Linked DNA regions of Cricetulus griseus. The protein of the gene in region 3 interacts with the protein of the main gene of each other region in a pairwise test. Links are inferred from orthologs where the notes say so. Each region holds a gene or a part of one and is shown on either strand. Other genes may lie near its edges. The genes, in order: Eda, Lsmem2 and Gimap5.

Region 1 (4,300 bases), on a different chromosome or scaffold from region 3:
TTTGACTCTTGACAACTAATCTTTTCCATCCTTCATTTCCAGGTCTATTGTTCTGACATTTGCCATTTTTTTCTCTGACCCTGTTTCTGATTGGTGCAGCTGTTGAAGATGCTGCAGTTGCAGCATGTACATCTGGAACATTTGGCTGACTTGTTGAACTTCCCCCAGGGAGTACTCCAGGGGAAGCATGGGAAGGGTGGAGAGGCCAGAACAGTTGTCTGCAAGTAGAGATGACAATAGTGTCTGGCCATTCTGTGGACCACCCTTGTAAAAATTCACCTCTTTGTGACCCTCAGTTTACCCACCTGCTCTTGGAAGGCTCGTGATCTTTCAAAACTTCTGCAGCCCTGGAAGAAGATAAACTTTTGGCTGTGGGCTCACTCACACAACACTTTCAGCCTTGTGAAAAGGATTAATGCATATCTGTTGAATGAATTAATATGTCAAGAAATCCTAGGAAACTGTATTACCCTTCAAGGGATAGTATCACTTCAGTTCCACTAGGCACTTGGCACTAGGCTTTGACTGTGCCCCCAGACTCACTCTAGGAGTGAGACATCCTGATTCCCAGTCTGTTTGGCTCCCAGGCTCCTAGGTCTCCTTTTCTTCTGGGAGCCATTGAATTGCAAACACAGCAGGCATGGTTTCATTCCAAACCCTGAACTGTTTTAATTAGTTTAACGTCTGTTAAACGCTTTGAAGATTGAAAGCAACAGATAAGTACTGGATGATGTTATTAACAACTGCAGTTAATTGCAAACATTTCTATTAATGCTAGTTTCTGCCTCCTTTTCTTTACTCCACGTTCTTTCCAAGGTTCCCAAATTCTTCTCAGCCTCCCCCTCCTGCCCTCCCCCATAGCGGCGCTGCCGAAGGGTTAAACCGGGGTGGAGTCCAGAGATGAACGACAGCGGCAGTCACCAACTGCAACGGGGCAAGCGGGAAGAGCTGGGTGGGGCTGCCAGGCAGAGGTGAACCCCCACGCCCCCAGGCCCCGCCCCACGGCTGGAGGCCCGAGTGGAACAGCAGGAGGCGGGGCGCCCAGACCTGGCGGGCCCGTGGTTGGGCGTCCCGGCCGCCCCTTGAGGCATGGGGCGGGGTAGGTGAGGACCTCCTCCCTCATTCCCTCTTGGGCCGCGCCGCCCCTCTCTCCCGCCCCTCCTCCTCCCTTTCCCACCCCTCGGAGTGGAGCTGCACATGCGGCTGCTCCCTGTTCTGTCCCGCCCAGCCACCGTCGCTCAGGAACGGGTCCCTGCAGCCCCCAGCCGATGGCAGGACAGTAGCCGCCTGTCAGGGGTCGCGAAGGGCTGAGGCAGAGGCAGAGGCTCCCGGGCCTCAGATAGTGGCTGTCTCTGGAGGCCATGGGCTACCCCGAGGCAGAGCGCAGGGAACCCCTGCCCGCAGCAGCGCCAAGGGAGCGGGGCAGCCAGGGCTGCGGCTGTCGCGGGGCCCCCGCTCGGGCTGGCGAAGGGAACAGCTGCCGGCTCTTCCTGGGTTTCTTTGGCCTCTCGCTGGCCCTCCACCTGCTGACGCTGTGCTGCTACCTAGAGTTGCGGTCCGAATTGCGGCGGGAACGGGGAACCGAGTCCCGCCTCAGCGGCCCGGGTGCTCCTGGCACCTCTGGCACCCTAAGTAGCCCTGGTAGCCTCGACCCCGTGGGTCCCATCACCCGCCACCTCGGGCAGCCGCCCTTTCAACAGCAGCCTTTGGAACCAGGAGAAGATCCACTCCCCCCTGACTCCCAGGACCGGCACCAGGTGAGTCACCTAGGAGGGGCGGCGGCCTTGGAGGCCCCCTCCCCTGCTAGGTTGGGTGGGGGCCTGCGCCTCAGGGCTTGGGGGACTCTGCCACTCCGAGCCAAGTTACAGGGCAGGACCTGGGAGTGGGCCGGAGAGCTAGGGAGAGGTTGTCCGGGGCAGGTTGTTCTCAGTTCTTGGCTTGGCTCATCCAGACCCTCTCGGGTCCCAAGGACTTGGAAAGCCCAGCCTGCTTGCGCCGCCCCCGGGGGGTGTGGGCTGCTTCGGGGAAAAGTTGGCCGGGCTCGCACCCGGGCCGGCGGAGAGGTGCCTGCGCCGCCCCCGTGGCCGTCTAACGGCGAGCAGCTTGGCCCCTGGTGCCCCTGGTGAGGTTCCCTGCCCGCGGTGCTTGTTTCTTCGTGTCCCGAGCTGATGCCAGCACTAGCAGGCTCCTCTTTGGAGTTGGAGCTGTAAACAGCTGTAATAACTGTTCCACGCCCGCTGAAACAACTTTTAACCGTACTTTTCAGCGCCGGGTTCTTGTGCGCTGACCAGAATGTGAGCTTTTTCACACTTACCTGCAATTTGAGACCGATTGTCCTCAGCGTTCTCGTGAGGATCAGCGCCCCTGAGGAATTCTGGTAGAAATATGCCGTCTTGCTAGACAACTTCTGAACAGCAATTTAAAAAATCTATGGAAACAAAACTCACCCTTTGCATGCCGGTTCTGACACTCTTCTTGATGGAGTGGGGTGCAGTGGGTGTGAAGGGTTTTCATTATCGCTAGCTTCAGAACAGGAAGTTGGATTTTTGTTTTGTTTTTGGTATTCTTTAGAGTGTTTGTATCCCTTTTAGCAAACCATTAGCTTGGTTGTTTTCCTAATTCTTTCTTCAAGTAAATTCAATGTACTTGGTATTAAATACTCTCGTGGTTGCCAAAGCTGTCTTACATGTGAATCTTAGGCAAAGCAACCAAGGATCTTTTTGAGTGGTTAAAGACTAATGGTTAGTTTGTACCCTTTTGAGAAAACAAGTTGTATAAGTAACTTACTTGAAGTGACACATGGAAGCCTTCTGTATTTGGTCCATAGTCATTGTCACAACTCTTTAAACATTATTTGTGCTACTTTGACCTTCAAACTTGTACACTTTAGAGCTGTCACATTCATAACAATCTCTGTCAGGACTGACATTTTTCTCTTTTATAATGTGTTTTGTAAAAATGCCCCAGCCCTAAAATGCCTTTCAAACATACTCCAACTTATATAACAGCTTATCATAGAAAAGAATCTGCAGACATGCTCCTCATACCTGAAACTTTAAACACTATGGCTGGGTGATAATTAATTAGGACTCTGGATCTTTTATTTATCTTCCCCCTCCTCATCCCCATAGAAATACTTAGCAGCTGCACATTAATATTCTGTAAAAAGTATCAGAGAGTTCAACTTCTCTAGTCAACTGGTGGTCAAGGCTTTTGGGCATTCAGGGTGGACAGAGTCATGTTCATGGACTGAGGATTAGGCGGACAGCTGTATTCTAGAGCTTCTGGGATAGCTTGGGACTCTCATGGCTTTGTCATGGCATTTAGTTGCCTACACTTGTGTAGCACTAAAATACTTAGGTGTTTCAACACAGTTTCTCATCTCCTTTCCTTTAGAATCTTTCTAGATTAGTCCTTTGGGACAGTCAAAGCAATGATAGTAGCTCTTTACAATTATTGGCATCAACTTGGAATTGAAGTTTTTCAGATTTGTAAGGTACCACCTAAGTCTATTTTGTTGATTCCTTTGGAGAACTTATAGCCCCCGAGGGAGAAGTAAATGGCCCAAGATATCATAGCTTGAGTCAAAACTAGGATGAAGTTGGGTCTTCATCTTCAATTTAGTACATATTACCCCATAAAATAGTATCTACCAAAAAAAATTTTTTGAGGGGAATGAGGCAACCACAGGTTGGAACTCCATAGTAGACTTTTTACAAAATGAAGGGCTCAAATCTGTGTCGTTTTGTTCTGCTCTAACTACATTTTGACCAGGCTAAGTTTAACCATATACTCCTTATTTGTCTTGAACTTAACTTTCAGGAAAACTGGAATATAACTGAGGAAGTGTTAACTCAGATTCAACTTGTTTCTCTTGAGGATATTAGTTTTAGCATATGAATAAGCAAATATATGAATAAATAAATAAAGGAAAAGTTGATTGGCTAATTGAGTTAAATTGATGTGCTATATCTGGGTAAAATTTCTAGTGCCCTGGTGCACCCTCTGCTGGTTTTGCAGTGACATTTAATTGTACTAACTGCTGACAATCAAACTTCTAAGTTGTGCTGACAGATTCTGATTCATAAATAAGGAAGTAAACAGCCTCCTGGGACTTGGTCACGTAGGTCATATTTTATATTTTAGTTTTTTAACATAAACAGCTGCCGTTACAGCAAGTTTTGTACAGAGAGGATCAGAGACAAAAACATGCACCCCCCCATGGGCAATATATTTGGGTTTCATATGAATGTATTTAGAAAGAGTGAAGGCAAGCTGATGATACTAAACTGTGGTGAGC
Region 2 (4,330 bases), on a different chromosome or scaffold from region 3:
CTCTGTAGACCAGGCTGGCCTCGAACTCACAGAGACCCACCTGCCTCTGTCTTCAGAGTGCTGGGATTAAAGGCCTCACCACCACAAACTCCGATCTTCATGGTTATGCAGCAAGTGCTTTTAATCACTGAGCCATCTCTCACCTCACCCCCCCATTTTTTAATTTTATTTTATTTTATTTTTTTTTTTGTGATAGGTTCAGAAAGTTCCCAGACTGGTCTTGAGTTCCTGGTTAACTCAAGTTACCTTTCTGCCTCAGCCTTCCAATTGCTATCAATGTCTCTCTGACTTCTAAATAACTATAACTCTGCTTTCCTCTGGCATTATTTGACTGGATATGTATTTTTGAAACAGTCTCACTACGTGGCTAGCCTAGAACTCATTATGCAGACCACGCTGGCCTTGATCTCACAGAGATTCTCCTGCCTCTGCCTCCCAAGTGTGCACCTCCAAGGCCTTCTATTGGATTTGGTTGCTTTAGTTCTGATTCCACAAGCGCTCCCGATGCCTGCAGAGGGATAGGTAGCGGTGTGCCAGAGTGCGGGGCAAGGACTGCACTGGGCCCTCTAATGTGCTTGAAGCTGCCCCTTGACAGGCTCACAAGCAATTCAAACAAAAGCAGATGCTGTCAGTCCTCAAGCCTGGCTGACGGACTGAGGTCACATTAAATACCCTCTGCACTTCACTAATTCTCCCATACCTTATATTTGGGCATATTTTATTTGCTATAGACAAAAACACATGGTAGATGTTACAGTTAAGTCATTGCCGCCCCCCACCCATAAAAGATACACACACACACACCCCTTAGTAGAGGGCAGGCCCTTTCTCTGGTTAGATCATGCCAGAGGCATGTCTACTTCCCAGTCCCTGGGCCAGACGTTGAAATGCTTCCTGGAACCGCGTCGCACCCCAACCCCAGCCTCTTTGCTGAAGGAAGAGCTAAATTGCTTGGCAGCTCCCCAGATGCCCACACCCACTTGGGTAGAGTTGTCCCATTCTTAGGTAGAAAGCTGTGGTCCCTCTCCCTGGCCCATAGCAAGGAAAACTGAGGCAGGACCTGCAAAAGGGAGTTCTAAGTATGGCAGGTCCATTCTTTGTCTGTGCATAGGGATTGGTGTCTAGAACAGGGATATGAAAAGACTACTCAAGGCTGTGAGGTCTCTCCATGAGCCATAGGGCCATAAAGCTTTGTCCTCCCCCATGGCTACCCTCTCCTACCTTCTTGGGTCTCCTCAGGCATGGCAGTTGATACGTATAGTCAGGGGCCAGATGAGAGTGACCAGTAGCAGAACTGGACAAACATAGCAGTGGCTCCTTTAGGATCCTGGGAAAGGTCTGGCTGCCTCCCAACCTGGTCTTAAAATAGGTCTGAGCTCACTTCCCTGGGCTATATTTAGAGGGGGCATCTCCAAGCCGTGAAAAGGGGCAGAGTGACCCAGATGGACTGACCTAGACTACCTACTCGGTGATAGGGCACAACTAAGAGCTAGCACATGGGCCCAGGGAACTTCTCTGAAAGCCATAGCAACTCTATACACACATAGGCCTTGGGGTCCCCATCCCGGTCAGCAGGCAGCATATGGCATGTATGACAGGAAAGAAACCCTGCTCATCTCCCCTCAGCCATCCCTCACCCCCATAGACCCTGCACCCACAGCCCAGCCATTTCCTTCCAGCAAATGTGAGATGAGCGTGTGACCACCTAGCAGCAGATATTGGGGGTGGTGGACAACTGGAGCACAACACCATAAGGATCTGGCAGCCCCCAAGTGGACACTCATGCTGGCTGGTGGACAGACTGGGATTAAAAGCTGGTATTTCTAGTATTAAGCTGTAGCCTTATGTAAAGAGGACCTTGAGAGTGGCCTCTGTTTTCCCATCTGTAAAACAGGAGCAAGGAGCCAATTGTACTGAGAATAAAAATGCAGAGACATGACTAATGTACTTAGCACAGAGTAGTCTTGGTCCTCCCTCCCCCTCCTCTCCACAAGGGCTTAACAGGCCACGTGAAGGCATGTGAGGATGGACGCTCAGCGACATTGCACACTCTTGAAGAGCTGGTCCAGTCTCCAGGCCTTAGTCAGTTTGTGAACTCTGTTCTGCTTCTTCTGGACGGTGCACAGCAAGACTGTGGGAAGGGTCTACCTTCCAAAACATCCTGAGTCCATCATGTGGCACCCATATTCGCCTCCTTGTCTTCCTCAGACTTGGCGGGCTTGTTCCCTGCTCCAAGGCTTTGCACTGACTGGTTCTTCCATTCTGGAATGCTCTGCCTCCAGACATCTGTGACTGGTTCCAACTGGTTCCCTCTTATCTTTCGGCTTGTATCAACCCTTCAAGTGAGTTCTGCACACATTCTTGCCCACAACATGCAGTACTGTTTGTTTGTTTTTACTTCAGAGAGCTTTGCCCTGCCATTACTAGCTGCAGGATGCGCTGTGCATGTCAGCCCCCCAGAGGCTCACTGGAGCCAGCTGGGTCATCTAATACCACTTCCAATCTTCACTACAGCAATCTTTTTTTTCCCCCAAGACAGGGTTTCTCTGTAGCTTTGGAGCCTGTCCAGGCTAACCTCGAACTCACAGAGATCCACCCGCCTCTGCCTCCTTTGTGCTGGGGTTTAAGGTGAGTGCCACCCACCGACAAGCAGAATGGCAATCTTGAATGAGAAAAATTCAGGATTTAAGACTGCTAGGACAGGGGCTGGAGAGATGGCTCAGAGGTTAAGAGCCCCGACTGCTCTTCCTGAGTTCAATTCCCAGCAACCACATGGTGGCTCACAACCATCCGTTATGAGATCTGGTGCCTTCTTCTGGTGTGCAGATATACATGGAAGCAGAATGTTGTATACATAATAAATAAATAAAATCTAAAAAAAAAAAAAAAAAAAAGGACTGCTAGGACAATGCCGGAGACTCCCAGCAAGGTCAAGGACCAGCTGTTATCTGCTGGGGCCATTCCAACGTCAGCTGATAATGTGTTTATTGCATTACTTTAGTACAGTTGCCCTGCCTCACTCCAACCCACAGTCTAATCTGCTACAGCTTCCTGCTCACTGCCCAAGAGAATGCTTGCCCCAGGACAGGCACCCAAGACAGCTCTCTGGCCCTGGTCTACACCGGAGCCCCACTTCTCTGTCCCCTCCCTCCAGGCTAGATCCTGAATTGAGCCTGGACCACTCCTCTGAGACTACATTCGCGGGTTATCTTGTTAATAAATAAGCTGGCTCGGCTACCCTTTGGCCAGGGCCGATGTATAAGTTAGGTGTCTCTATTGGTCCAAGGACCTCAGTGTGCCTCAGCCACAACTCATGTCTTCCTGATGTCTGTCTGTCCCCTTTTCTGAGTGTCATATCCAGCCTGGTCCCCCGTGTGATGACAGCCCAGTCACCAGTGTGCTGCACTACGTGGCCCACGCTCAGCACGCAGCTCAGAGGCCTGCATCCGCCTGTTGCGACCCTTACGACGCGATTCTGTTGCCACAGAGGAGGGTCTGGGCTGGGGGTGGCACATTCGCAGGGAGTTTGCCCCTCCACTGCCGCCTGGCTCCACCAGTTGTAGAAAGTCCCGGTACCAGAGCTTGGGGCCTGGTGGTGCAGGGGCAGCTGCCTCCTCAGCCCGCGCCAGTCGTTCGGCCTGTACGGCACTCAGCACGTGCAGCACCAGGCGACGCAGGGGCTGTGAAAAGCCTTGCTCAACTGCGACACACAGATACACGCCAGAGTCCTGGCGCCTCAGACCACGCAGCAGCAGCCCCCGCGAGGTCCGCTCAGCTCGCTCATCAGCCAGCACCTGTGTGTGAGGACAAGCACAGAAACAGAAACAAAGGGTCACTGGGAGCCAAAGCTAGACAAGGAAAATAGGTGGTGGCAGTACTCACTAAAAGGCTAGGTGCAGAGGGATGGGCAGCCTTGGAACGGAGATCGAGGGTCACTCAGATGGGGGAGGAAATAGACTAGAAACCTCAACACATGGGTGGGTTGAGGGCCCTCTCCTTCCAGATGGTGGAGGGTAGGCCAGGACTCTAGCTGGACACAGTGGGACATCACTGATGGACTGTGGCGTTCAGCTAAGGACGGAACAGGATGGGACCTATATGGAGCCTGACTCTGTAGCCTCACTGAACTGGACTTCTATGGGGTACAAGCCAAAGGCCTCCTTAGGCAGTCAGGCCTAGTTAGGAAGGGTGGAGGGAGGCACACCTGGGTGTGAGCCACCTCCCCTGCACGATGGAAGGTCCACTCCACATGTGCCTGTAGCGAGCGAGGCTCACACTCCAGAAAGGCGCTGCCACTCTCCACACCTAAGACCTTCCGCTCCAACAGCGC
Region 3 (3,492 bases):
CCTCCCCTCCACTCTAGATCCACCCCCCATCTCCCCTCAGAAAAGAGCAGGGACACCAACCAAAATCACATAACAAGCTACAATAAGACCAGGCACACACTATCATATCAAGGCTAGACAAGCCAACCCAGTAGGAGGAAAGGGTCCCATAAGCAGGCAGAAGAGTCAGAGACAGTCCCCACTCCCGCTGTCAGGAATCCCCCAAGAACATCAAACTACTTGGCCGTAACATATATGCAGGGAACCTGCAGGTCAGACAGCTACTGGCTCCCTGATCTCTGTGAGCCCTCATGAATCCTGGTCAGTTAGTTATGTGGGTTGTGTTCTCTCTGTTGGTGTCCCTGACCCCTCTGGTTCCTCTGATCCTTCCTGCTCCTGCTCCACAGGACTCTGTGAGCTTTGCCTAATGCAAATAGGAATTCTAACGGGGGAAAAAGAAGAGGCTCAGAGTAGCAACGTCTCACAGACCAGCAGAGTGGTTTTCTGAAGGTTATGCTCATAGCAAAGCATCCCGGCATGGTGCTTTAGAAACATCTCTGAAGTACAGAGCATCACACATTAAAACATATGAGCAGAAAAATAACAAGGAATATTAGTACTGACAATACAAAACTAGCACAAGTCCCAGCGTGCACAGCCATCCACTCTGTGCCTCTGAGAAGCACCTTGAGGACCCAGCTGCCCTCCTGCTCCTCCAGCTCCCGCTTCTGCCTCGCCACCTCCTGCCTCACCTTGGCCAGGTAGCACCTGTAGGCTTCTTGGCGCTCACTGTTGTTACCACTAAGGAGCTCCTGGGCATGAAGGAAGAGGTCATTGCTGTGAAAAGAGCCCTCACACTCCTGCTCCAGCGCCCTCACCTGGGCCATGAGCTCTGCCAGCTGCCCCTGCTGCTCTTCCCCAGAAGCCCTGTTATTAAAGGCACAGTACCTCTTCCCACACTCCTGGACCAGGCTGCGCAGGCTGTGGTTGTCAGTGTGGGTCACAAACTCATCCAAGGTCTCATTGGCCAGGTCTTCCTTGTGGGTGAAAAGGAGGATCATGTGCCTCATGACTCCTGCCCCGAAGATCTCCTTCACCCTCCTGACGGCTATGGTGTCCTGGGCGGTGAAGCGTCCCAGCTGGGTCACCAGCAACAGTACATGGGGTCCCGGGGCACACAGCAGATAGCAGTCTGCAATGTCCTTGTCTTGGTTCTGGGCCTCTGACTCAAAGATGGGTGGTGTGTCTACCACTAGGAAGCTCCTTCCCTTCCATGTGCCCATCTCTGCCTTGCTGGTCCTGGTCACTGACTGGGCTCTGAGCCTGGACTCGAATGCTTGTCGGCAGAGGATGCTGTTCCCTGTGGCGCTTTTCCCACAGCCAGATTTGCCCACCAGGAGGATCCTGAGTGGAGGTGATCCTGGGGTGCAGCCATCTTTCTTTCTGCCTTTGGGAGTAAAGGGAGGCTCGGGTGTGAAAAAATGATTGGTGAAGAAGAAGACAAAACTGACAGGAACTAGTGCAAACCAATCAGTACTCCCTCCCTCTGCTTTAACCACCCCATACCACCACACTCCGGACTTGTGGGATAAAGTGCTTCTGATGGTCAGAGTCCAAGGCGTCTTTCCCCTGGGGATTCACCAATCCAATTTTACCATTCATCAGGACCTTCTTTCTGTCTAGGCATGAAGTGGTAAGCCAATGTAGAATGCTCAGGGTAATCTCCGCCTGGCCATTCTGTTCATCTGTCCCCTTATCTTCATCTCCTCCCACCCTCCCTGGTCTCTGTTTTACACAACTGCAGGTTATTACCTTGGGGAACTTGCCCTTGCTCTGGAGACTCTGACAGTTAATGGCCTAATACGTTCAATTATCTGGTGGCACACTTGCCTTGCTGTAGGTGCCTGGAGGGAGGTTTGTCCCTTTCTAGGCACTGAGCAGTGGTCCTTGACAGTTGAAAACAGTTCCACCCACAGCAGCCTTCTTACCTTCGGGGAAGGTACCTTTCACAACTATCTGAAGAGTTTCCATTTCTTGTTTCTGGAAGGGAAAATATGCGAAGATTTGAATATAATATGCAGCACCAAACACATCATCTTGTAGGAAGGGAAATCAAGCCAAAGAGAAAGAACTGATGGAGTCACACACATACTTACAGGTAGTTCTAAATGACTCAAAGCAGAAAGACCCAAGAAAAGGGTGCATGTCATGTGATCACATGGACATTGTCACCAGGACTTTTCTTCAGCCCACAGGCAGAACGAAAGTGGGCTGTGTACCCACAATAACAGTCACTTCAGCTGGTCAGTTATTTCTACTGAGAACATGGCTGTCTGGGTTCTTTGGGAACCTAGCACTAGAGGCTGCTCTCTACGCCCAGCATCTCCAAGAGACAAATGTAATTCTTCCCTTGTTCCATGGCAGTGGTCCTCCTGCTCTGCCTGGAGCTTAGCTGAGTCCAGACAACAGGGCTTTCTCTGTCCAAACTGGGAAAGGGCTGGGCAAACCAGGACTGGCTGTTCACCCAGGAGTAGGATTCTGTTGTCGGGCCAGGTTGGGGAGTGGTGGGATGTGCCCAGGAAGCAGAGGGAAAGAAAAGCAAAGTCCTGAGGTGACTGACTAGTGTGCTGTGCTCCTGAGGTCACAGTGTCTCTGTTTCCATCTCAGTCCTGGATTGCAGACACCTTGAGGGCATCTCTCTTCCAGGGCCCTTCCTTTCCTCCCTGCATGCTGTTTTTTGCCCCTAGGTGCTGACTACTCTCTCAGGCAGGACTACTCATAGGATGCCTTTGGCCAAGCAACAGGTGGCAGGCAGGTCATGCACCCAAAGTGAGTGCTTCAAACCGCTGCTGTCTCCAGATCCAGCCTGATCAAAAAGAGGAACAAAAGCAAGGGCCGGAGCTTTCTTTAGGTTTGAGACTGTCTCAAATGCTTACACATTTCCCTCTCCCGTGCTTCCTCTAGTGGGAACCCACACTCCTTCAGTAAAATGACTGTCACCTTTTCTGTCCCCTTTGGGGTATCTTATTTTAAGCCACCACCCTCTTGGGACAGCACTGTGCCCTCAGCCAGCCCACTGGGAGCCAGCCATCCACCAGCCCCACCCACCTCACAGCCATCAGCTCTGCCACTCATTTTTAAGTAGTTGGTGGAAGGATCGGTGGGTGTGCAGCAGGTATTTCCTGCCCCTGGTTGGACCTCAGAGCTAGCAAAAGTGGAAGAGCTTCCCCATGCCCCTCCGAGGATGCACTCCATGGCATTGTGCAGGACTGGAAGAGACTAGAGAAGAGATCAGGTGCAGGCCACGCTTGGAAACACTGTGGAAATGTCATAAACATTGGCCTTGAGTAGATTATCTTAGTCTCATCGGGCAACAGTAATTATACCATTCTTTCCCATATCCTTTACCACAGTACCTTAAAAACATGGTCAGAAAATCATGGCATGCTATTATGAAGATAAACTAGGGTGCAAGTGTCATGGGGGTCATTTCCAAGAACAGTCTTTACTGCC

The links.
Region 1: the proteins of Gimap5 (region 3) and Eda interact in binary tests that used the Homo sapiens proteins (3 or more experiments, as listed by UniProt). The two-hybrid records come from large-scale screens. The link is inferred for Cricetulus griseus from reciprocal best matches to the Homo sapiens genes GIMAP5 and EDA.
Region 2: the proteins of Gimap5 (region 3) and Lsmem2 interact in binary tests that used the Homo sapiens proteins (3 or more experiments, as listed by UniProt). The two-hybrid records come from large-scale screens. The link is inferred for Cricetulus griseus from reciprocal best matches to the Homo sapiens genes GIMAP5 and LSMEM2.

What each region holds. Positions count from the first base shown.
Region 1 is NC_048604.1:70,348,940-70,353,239, reverse strand, and holds the start of Eda (ectodysplasin-A), read left to right. Parts: upstream 1-1,361; coding exon 1,362-1,757; intron 1,758-4,300. UniProt on the Homo sapiens protein: Cytokine which is involved in epithelial-mesenchymal signaling during morphogenesis of ectodermal organs. Functions as a ligand activating the DEATH-domain containing receptors EDAR and EDA2R. May also play a role in cell adhesion.
Region 2 is NC_048597.1:215,778,384-215,782,713, forward strand, and holds the start of Lsmem2 (leucine-rich single-pass membrane protein 2), read right to left. Parts: upstream 2,812-4,330; 5' UTR 1-2,811. Other genes in the region: Sema3b (semaphorin-3B), read right to left, coding at 3,390-3,794, 4,205-4,330.
Region 3 is NC_048601.1:98,479,153-98,482,644, reverse strand, and holds Gimap5 (GTPase IMAP family member 5), read right to left. Parts: upstream 2,011-3,492; coding exon 1,983-2,010; intron 1,427-1,982; coding exon 552-1,426; downstream 1-551. UniProt on the Homo sapiens protein: Plays a role in T lymphocyte development and the optimal generation of CD4/CD8 double-positive thymocytes. Inhibitor of GSK3A, possibly by sequestering GSK3A in cytoplasmic vesicles and impairing its translocation to the nucleus.